Linked DNA regions of Ovis aries. The protein of the gene in region 1 binds, or shares a complex with, the protein of each later gene. Links are inferred from orthologs where the notes say so. Each region holds a gene or a part of one and is shown on either strand. Other genes may lie near its edges.

Region 1 (4,559 bases):
CTCTCTTCTTTCACTTTCATCAGTCAAGAGGCTCTTTCTTTGCTTTCTGGCATAAGGGTTGTGTCATCTGCATATCTGAGGTTATTGATATTTCTCCCGGCAATCTTGATTCCAGCTTGTGGTTCATCCAGCCCAGTGTTTCTCATGATGTAGTTTTCATATAAGTTAAATAAGCAAGGTGACAATATACAGCTTTGACTACTCCTTTCCCAATTTGGAACCAGTCTGTTGTTCGATTCCAGTTCTAATTGTTGCTTCCTGACCCGCATGCAGATTTCTCAAGAGGCAGGTCAGGTGGTCTGGTATTCCTATCTCTTTAAGAATTTTCTCTCACTAGTTTTACCTTGTCTGGAATTTCGTATCAATGAGATCATACAGCATGTACTCTTTGTGTTCTGTTTCTTTCACTCAGCATGACCATTTTGAGATTCATTCATGTGGATGGATGGATGGGTTCATTTGTAATTAAGTAGTATTTCATTCCAGAGAAGGCAATGGCACCCCACTCCAGTACTCTTGCCTGGAAAGTCCCATGGACGGAGGAGCCTGGTGGGCGGCAGTCCATGGGGTCAGGAAGAGTCAGACACCACTGAGTGACTTCACTTTCCCTTTTCACTTTCATGCATTGGAGAAGGAAATGGCAACCCACTCCAGTGTTCTTGCCGGGAGAATCCCAGGGACGGGGGAGCCTGGTGGGCTGCCATCCATGGGGTCGCACAGAGTCGGACACGACTGAAGCGACTTAGCAGCAGCAGCAGCAGTATTTCATTCTATGGATGTGCCACATTTTGTTTATGCATTAGTGGATTGACAGACATTTGGGTTGTTCCAGTTTGGAGATATTATAAATAATGCATAACTGGCCTTTTTAAAAGCTGGAAGGAGGTCAATCCTATCTAAAGTGAGTTGGATTTTATTTTCTCCTACCTACAGGGCATCAGTACCATGATAGATTCCTATTAACTTTTAAAAAGAGCGGTGAAAACAAATCTCACACATTTTGGTCATAATACTCCTTTAAATGTCAGTGTTTTGTGCATTGAGTGTCTGTGAATCCTAAAAAATATAAGGAAAAGAAATTCTAAAGGTTCTGAAAGCTCACTTTACAACCAATAATAGAAAATACAAGTCGTTCGTGAGGTAAACTTTGGATAACATCGATTTTATCTCTGGAAAACGAAGCCCACAGAGTGTATCTTTCTTTTTTTTTTTTAGAGTGTATCTTTCGATCTGAAAAACATTAACCTTTCAAGATTAAACTTTCCATTTACTTATAAACAGGGAACCTGAAATACTACGACTTCAGAACTCAGCCAGAAGCGGGTAACCGCTTTGAATGCCGGGATTTGTAGTCCGTGAAATACTCGTCCTAACCAAGATGGCGGATATGCTAATGAGCGGCCCCGAGGGAGTCTGGGCCGCGAGGGGATTGGGCGATGCGGGGATTCCGCGGGAGGGAAGCTAAGACCAGGTGTTACAACCTTTCCAGCGAAGGAAGCCGGATGCCCTGAAGTCTCGCGAGATCCTGCCGGGGCCCAATGGAGCGTTGGGGTCGGCTTATCACTAGGAGAGCTTGTTGGGGGCGGAGCTCTGCCCTGAGCGGGCCGGGAGGCGTAGGTGCCCGGCGTAGCGGCGTTTAGGCCGAGCTACCGCGGTGAGGAGCGAAGCTGTGGCCATGAAGGAGGAGAAGGAGCACAGGCCTAAGGAGAAGCGAGTAACCCTCTTGACTCCTCCAGGTGCTACAGGCAGCGGCGGTGGGGCTTCGGGAGACAGCACCAAAGGGGAAGATAAGCAGGATCGGAACAAGGAGAAGAAAGAGGCGTTGAGCAAGGTGTCTGGCCGGCTGTTGGCCCAGGAGAGGGCGGGACGGTTCCACCACCCGAGAAAGATGGTTGGGAATGGGGCTGCCCTCTTCCTCTCCCAATCTCTTCCTCTGTTTCTTCACTTGAGTGAAAATCGCATCACCCTGTCTCATCCACTCTCCCAAAATGGGGGTTCCCTTCCCGGCAGAGCTCCGGGATGGGAGTGAGGGAGGGCGGGGGGATTCCCTGACTGGAAGGGTTTAGGTCAGAGCCGTGAGATGATGATGGGAGGGGGGGGCGATAGCGAAAAGGATGAGGAATTGAGGGGGAATTATTAAACAGAAAGGTGCTATCACCAGCGGGAGTAGTACGTGATAGGAATATTAACAGGTTAGTTGAGGGAATGGGTGGGTGGCGGCTATTAATGGTCTTGGGCCAAATCGGGTACATTCTGTTCGGGGAGCAGTGAGGGAATTGGGGGTATTTCTTAGAATTTTGAATTCTTTATGCTGACTGAATAAGGACTTTATCAATCAAGAATTCCTGGCACCCACAAAAGACCAGGGTTGGTTTACAAATTTCTTACCACTACTGAAAAATGGGTGACAGAAAATGAGGCGAAAACCTAGTAAACCGTGGGGCTTCGGGTTAACAGAACCTAAGATTTCCTTGCTCCAGGCAGTTCTCGTTTCTGAGAGTTTTTTTTTTTTTTTTTTTTTAAACTATGTTACTGTTAACGTTTGACTAATCGTTCTGAGCGTTCTGAACATTCTCTTGGGTTTTTAGAAGTGATCTCATCTTTTAAAGGCCAACTTTCTTCAGGAACAGTGATTCAGGTATGACAGAAAATTGATTTGTACTAATTTTATTTTCCTTATTCATTTCTTAAGGTGGTAATTCGGAGATTACCGCCCACTTTGACCAAGGAGCAGCTTCAGGAACATCTTCAGCCTATGCCTGAGCATGATTATTTTGAGTTTTTTTCTAATGATACTAGGTAAAATAAGAGGGAGGGGTAAATGAAAAAGGTTTCTTCCATTCTTTTTTTTAATCCTACTCATGATTTCTATTTTATTTTTGAGCCTTTTTAATATATGCATACTTGTAATTCAGCCAGACACCTGCAAGCACATTCACATAATTGCTTTCCTTCCTGCAGTTTGTATCCTCATATGTATGCAAGAGCATACATCAACTTTAAAAACCAAGAGGACATTATTTTGTTCAGGGATCGTTTTGATGGTTATGTATTCCTTGACAATAAAGGTGAGTCCTTTTAACTGAAGGGGAGTTTGTCATTTGTTTAAGACAGTGTATCCCTGTTCTCTTGATGCCTTCATAGTGTTTCTGAAATCCTGAGTGATAAGATGAGCAACATTTAAAGAGTTTTATGCATTTGATAAGCTTATGACAGCCTTATAAATAGATAATATGAGGTTTTACAGGTATTTGTATTAACCTATTATTTCTCTAGTTTGTCAACCAAAGGAAATTGCCACTGTTTTCTCCTCCTGTGACAGTTCTTTTGCCCTGTTTTAGGTGATCCGTTGTCTTGAGTATTTACTAGTTTTAAGTGATACTGACAAGTGACTCTTTAAACTTGTATGACAAGTTTTAAATATTTACTTCTCATCTTGCTTCAAGGACCAATACTTATTTAATTCAGATCCTTTATGTCAATAGTTGCCAGTTGGAGTACTGTTTAACATTCTAAGTTGTATGTAATTAAACCACTGAGCTTGATGATTTCCCACTTCCTATCCAGGAGTTTATAGGGAAGAAAAACTTCTGCATTAACCCTCATTTTATTATTTGTTGCTTGCAACATTTAGCCAGAGAATGTCCAAGTCTGGCTACTTTTGCTACTAAGTTTGCTACTTTTCTTTTGGCTATGCAATATTGAATGATGTGTGTTTTTGTTAGATTATATTTTTTCAATATTACTTCAGAGTTGGTAAAAAATGAAATCTTTGTCAGGGAATATGCCAGTAAAAGTTGAAGAATTGCCTCTATGTTTGTCCAGTTTTTATTAATCCCCCCAAACCAGCTACTTTTCTGCTCCACAAATTTATTCCAGTAGATAGCAAATGGTTTCCTGAAAATCTGAGTTGTGTTTAACTTTTTCCTCTCTTTATCCCTTACATTTAAACAAGTGATGGATTTTGTCAATTTATTGCTTTTTAATATCTTGTTCATCTAGACTGAGGACGTTAGACTTACTGATACTTTCACATGTCCTCATCACCTAATGCTTAGACAACCACTCTCTCTAAACTTATAGAATTTTCCATTTTCTGTATAATTTAGTCTTACTTTGCCATGAAAATAATCTTTTTGAAGATAGTGACTTAAGACAGCAGTTGTGGGAAAAAAGTCCAAATTCCTTAGGTAGACAAAATGTTTTCATCACTTCAGAAAGAATCCTGTATTCATTAGCAGTCATCTCCCATTGTTTGGCCTCACTTCTAATTTTTTTTTTTTTTGCCTATATTCCACAATTTCCTTTTGCTTCGGTCTGGTTTATCTATTCCTTTTCAGGTATATCAGTTATTAAGGTAATATGATTCTGCACTCACTAGGATTTCTAAAATCTTGTTTCCTCTGTGACTGCTTTGTGATATCTAATGGTCAGTTCTAGTAATTTATCCTGGCTTATGTTTACACACCAAAGGTGTAAAGATGGTATTTTATACCTTCTATTACATTATTCTATAGCAAGGATTTGATGTATTTTTCCAGTAGTCACTTAGGTTTTTA
Region 2 (3,818 bases), on another chromosome or scaffold:
AATATGACTGGGACTTGTGTTCATTAGGAGTTAGGATGTAAATACAGACACACACAAATGCACACACACACGGAAGTCCAAACTTTAAACAATTTGTAGAGCTGAGAACTCATTTATTTCCCACAGATATACAAAATATGTGGATTGCGAAATACGGGAATAGGCACATAATAAAAGATGTGTCTAACTTTGGATACTGACTTTACCTTTGTAACCTTGAGGAAATCACTGCTTACACAAAAACACTGAAATGTGAATAACCCCTAAGGAGTTTGTGACAAACACAAAAAATCCAAAAGCTTCTATAAACAACTTTTATGAGCACCAAAAACTTAAATTTGGTCAGGTGTGGCAGAAACAAGGGGAGATCTACAACTGCTTTTAAGCAGATGGGAATCTGGCTATATGTTTCTACATATAAGACCTTCTGTCATAGGATACACCTTCTAGAACAATTTTCATCTTTAAAATGAATCAGAGATCTGGCCTCCGGAAGGACCAAAAGCACTCTCCATCCAGGCTGTGATGTTTTATTGGAGCAAAATTTCAACAAAAGGTGGCTTTTATTTACAGAGTTTAATGTGTGCGGTGACTGCTTAACCCACTTGGACTCAAGTGAAGATAACAGTTAAGCCTGCTTAGATATTGTCTTGTTTTCAATTTGCATACAAAAAAGTTTGCTTCACATTCATAAAACCCCCAATATTATAAATGAACAAATCCTCCCTCACCCACCCCTTAATTAAATATAAACCCAGTTTCAAAACACATATAGTTTAGATTGGTTTAATCTTGAAATGTAATCCAATAAGACTAAACACTAAACACTTCAGGTCCTGTACCAAATAGTAAAATACTCGAAGGCCTTCAGGATCCCTAAAATTTAAAAGATAAAAGTTAGTTTTTTATTCCAAGAATGAAACAACATAATAATATAAGTTAATTCTTAAAACAGAGACCAAAAACCAAAAAAAATTAAAGGAACTGAGGAGAAAGGATTTTCTGATAACTATTAATATAACTGATATACTGGACAATTTCTATCTTTATCTTTTCTCTGAACTTTTCTCTGAAATTCCTCTCTCTCTTTTACACTGAAACCAGTTAAGCAAACAAGTTAAGTTATTATAAGTTACGCTGATAAGAAAATAACACTAGGAGAACATTTTGAGGGGAAAGAGTGGAAAGCAGTAGAAGGAGGCAGAGAGCTTTTTCAGATAATAGTAAGAGGTATCTGTCACACACAGAGCTTGGGAAGGCACATATGGCTACAGCCATACTTAAGCTATATCAGGCTTTTCTCCATTTCTTTCAAGTATTAAACCCAAGGAGGCAAATGATGTCATATGGAACTAATAAGGCTGAGAAATTCAAGAAGATTTCTTTTAAACTCTGTGGGGCTGCATCCAGACTAATTTTGGGAATCAGTAAAATATACTGTTAACTTCTTTGATAATAAGTCTTTACTAATATAAAAATGAGGATTACATATACATAATAAATTGCTACAGGATACAATTAATCTCATCAAACTGGCTATGGTTCTAAAATAAGCCTAATAAATCATGTCAATTTAGTCAAAATGCTTTAACTTTTATTAATGCTTTTAATACTCACTTTGACTGATTGACATCAATAAGAGAACCTATTTTTGATGTGGTAAAAGAAATGTGTTCATCTCCAATTACAATTTCAAGCTCCTGAAAAAAATAAAACAGAGAAATGTAGTTAGTGTAAAAATTCACCTCTTACAACCAAGAGGTCCTGATTTTAGCTGCAAGTTTTCTAGCCGTAATAGAGGAGGGGGTAAAAATAAAAAAGAAACAATTTGTTAACTATGTCTGTAAAGTAAAAATCTCAACTCCTCAGAGTTCCCCAGTATTAGGATGAATCAAGAACTGCTTTCCAGAGATCTGACAAAGAAGATGCTATCAAATGAATGATAGACTTCAGAGGCACACAGAAATAGTGATGTCAATAAAAACTAAGAATATGGGTTTAAGCCTATTTTTAATATAATAAATACAAATACATTTATCCTTTCTACCAGGCTCTACAAATAAACTGCATAATGCTAATAATAGCACTATTTAGCACCTACTGTGTATCAGACCTGCTGATAGGGACTTTAAAAACATGTTCTTTGTAATCCCCAAAACTGGGCTAATAAAGCCTGTCTTTCTCAGGTCAGCTTTATTGCCTGATTTTACAAATATAAAGCCCAAGACTCAAAAGCAAGATAAAAAAAAAAAACTGTTTGTATTTACAACCACTAATATGTGATGGTACTAATATTTAACTCTTGGATTGTAAAACTGAAAGATTTGTGTACAAAATTAAGTATAAATTTTTCTCCACATTTTATCTGCAAATCTAAAATGAAAAATTAAGAGGCTATGTCTGTATTAAGTTTTCAGTTTAAATTAACAGATGCCATTAAAGACATTCCCAGATCTGTATTTGATCAGAAAAGATCTAATTATGCCCCTTTATGGCACACACACAGAATGGATAATTAACTAAGACTCTCAAGCAATCAAAATCTTTGACCTAAAGATCCAAGAGACAACTTCAACGGCAGAAGTAATCCTCCCCATTATCCAAAACACATGAACACATGATCAAGTGGGTAGATGAAAACACTGCTCTCTCCTTGAGTCTAAGAGATAAATAAAAGGTTTGCTGCTATTGTTTCTGATTTTTAATGCCTATATATATATATGTGTGTCTAAAACAAATGGAAATTTAAATTTACTTCTTAAAAGTGTTCACAGTGAATACAATAAATACTGTTAACTATTACCTTTGCTTTCCTAAATAATGTTTCTTTAAATAGAAGCGTTAAGTTACTGCTACAGAGCATCAGCATCTATTCTCCACATTTTCTTCTAGTCAAAGAAGTTGTTATAGAGTATAATCCTCAGGAACACACAAAAGCGAAATTAAGTGTTTCTTCCTCCTGCAGTCATATCTCATTCTTCCAGCAGTTGAAAAGACCCAATTCAGAAATCAAACTGTCTTTCTACAGAGTGAAATCAGGCCTTCAGAGCTCTTCAGCAGCTCTTTGAGAAATATCAATTTTTCTGAAGGGAATATGACAGGCAAAGGCAATGGTCAGTTTGAACAAAGAAACCAATCAAATCTCTCTGGAGTGTAAAGAAGCAAATACGAATTTTCAAAGTTATATATCTGGAGAAAGTGAATTTTACATAGTGAGAATCCTAATTCTCAAATTCATCAAACATTTGAGTTTTTTCCTACCTATTTTTATTATTTATTATCATTGGGCTTCCCAAGTGGTGCCAGTGGTAAAGAATCTGCCTGCCAGTGCCGGAGATGCAAGAGACACAGCTTTGGCTTTGACCCCTGGGTCAGGAAGATTCCCTGGAGGAGGAAATGGCAGCCCACTATAGTATTCTTGCCTGGAAAATCCCATGGACAGAGGAGCCTGGTGGATTACAGTTCATCAGGCAAGAACTCATTAGTCCTTATAAAAGTACTTAACCTATAATGGAAATTAATTCTAATACTGTGAAAACACCCTAAGGTTAGCTGCGGTGGCTGCAGAGAAGACTGTTCAGAAAGATGTCTAAACTGACTCCTTTATTACTAGGAGGTAGCTCACAAATTGATGCAAAGTGAAATACAATTATAAACCATTTACCAGGTGCCTACTAGATGAAAAAAATCCAAGATTCAATGAGGATCTATTCTAGATAAATAAGGAGAACCACAACAATTCTATTAATAATGTTTACAATTTATGCATTTAAAGAATTATTAAATACAAACCTGTCGGCCAACCCTGTCAGGGGGAG

What was found.
Region 2: UPF3B (region 1) and MAGOHB share a complex: the UniProt entries of both Homo sapiens proteins name them as parts of the mRNA splicing-dependent exon junction complex. The link is inferred for Ovis aries from reciprocal best matches to the Homo sapiens genes UPF3B and MAGOHB.

Annotation. Positions count from the first base shown.
Region 1 is NC_056080.1:114,667,581-114,672,139, forward strand, and holds the start of UPF3B (regulator of nonsense transcripts 3B), read left to right. Parts: upstream 1-1,575; 5' UTR 1,576-1,675; coding exon 1,676-1,831; intron 1,832-2,588; exon of another isoform or gene 2,589-2,638; intron 2,639-2,692; coding exon 2,693-2,799; intron 2,800-2,961; coding exon 2,962-3,068; intron 3,069-4,559. UniProt on the Homo sapiens protein: Involved in nonsense-mediated decay (NMD) of mRNAs containing premature stop codons by associating with the nuclear exon junction complex (EJC) and serving as link between the EJC core and NMD machinery.
Region 2 is NC_056056.1:204,671,085-204,674,902, reverse strand, and holds the end of MAGOHB (protein mago nashi homolog 2), read right to left. Parts: coding exon 3,793-3,818; intron 1,701-3,792; coding exon 1,618-1,700; intron 877-1,617; coding exon 777-876; 3' UTR 77-776; downstream 1-76. UniProt on the Homo sapiens protein: Required for pre-mRNA splicing as component of the spliceosome. Plays a redundant role with MAGOH in the exon junction complex and in the nonsense-mediated decay (NMD) pathway.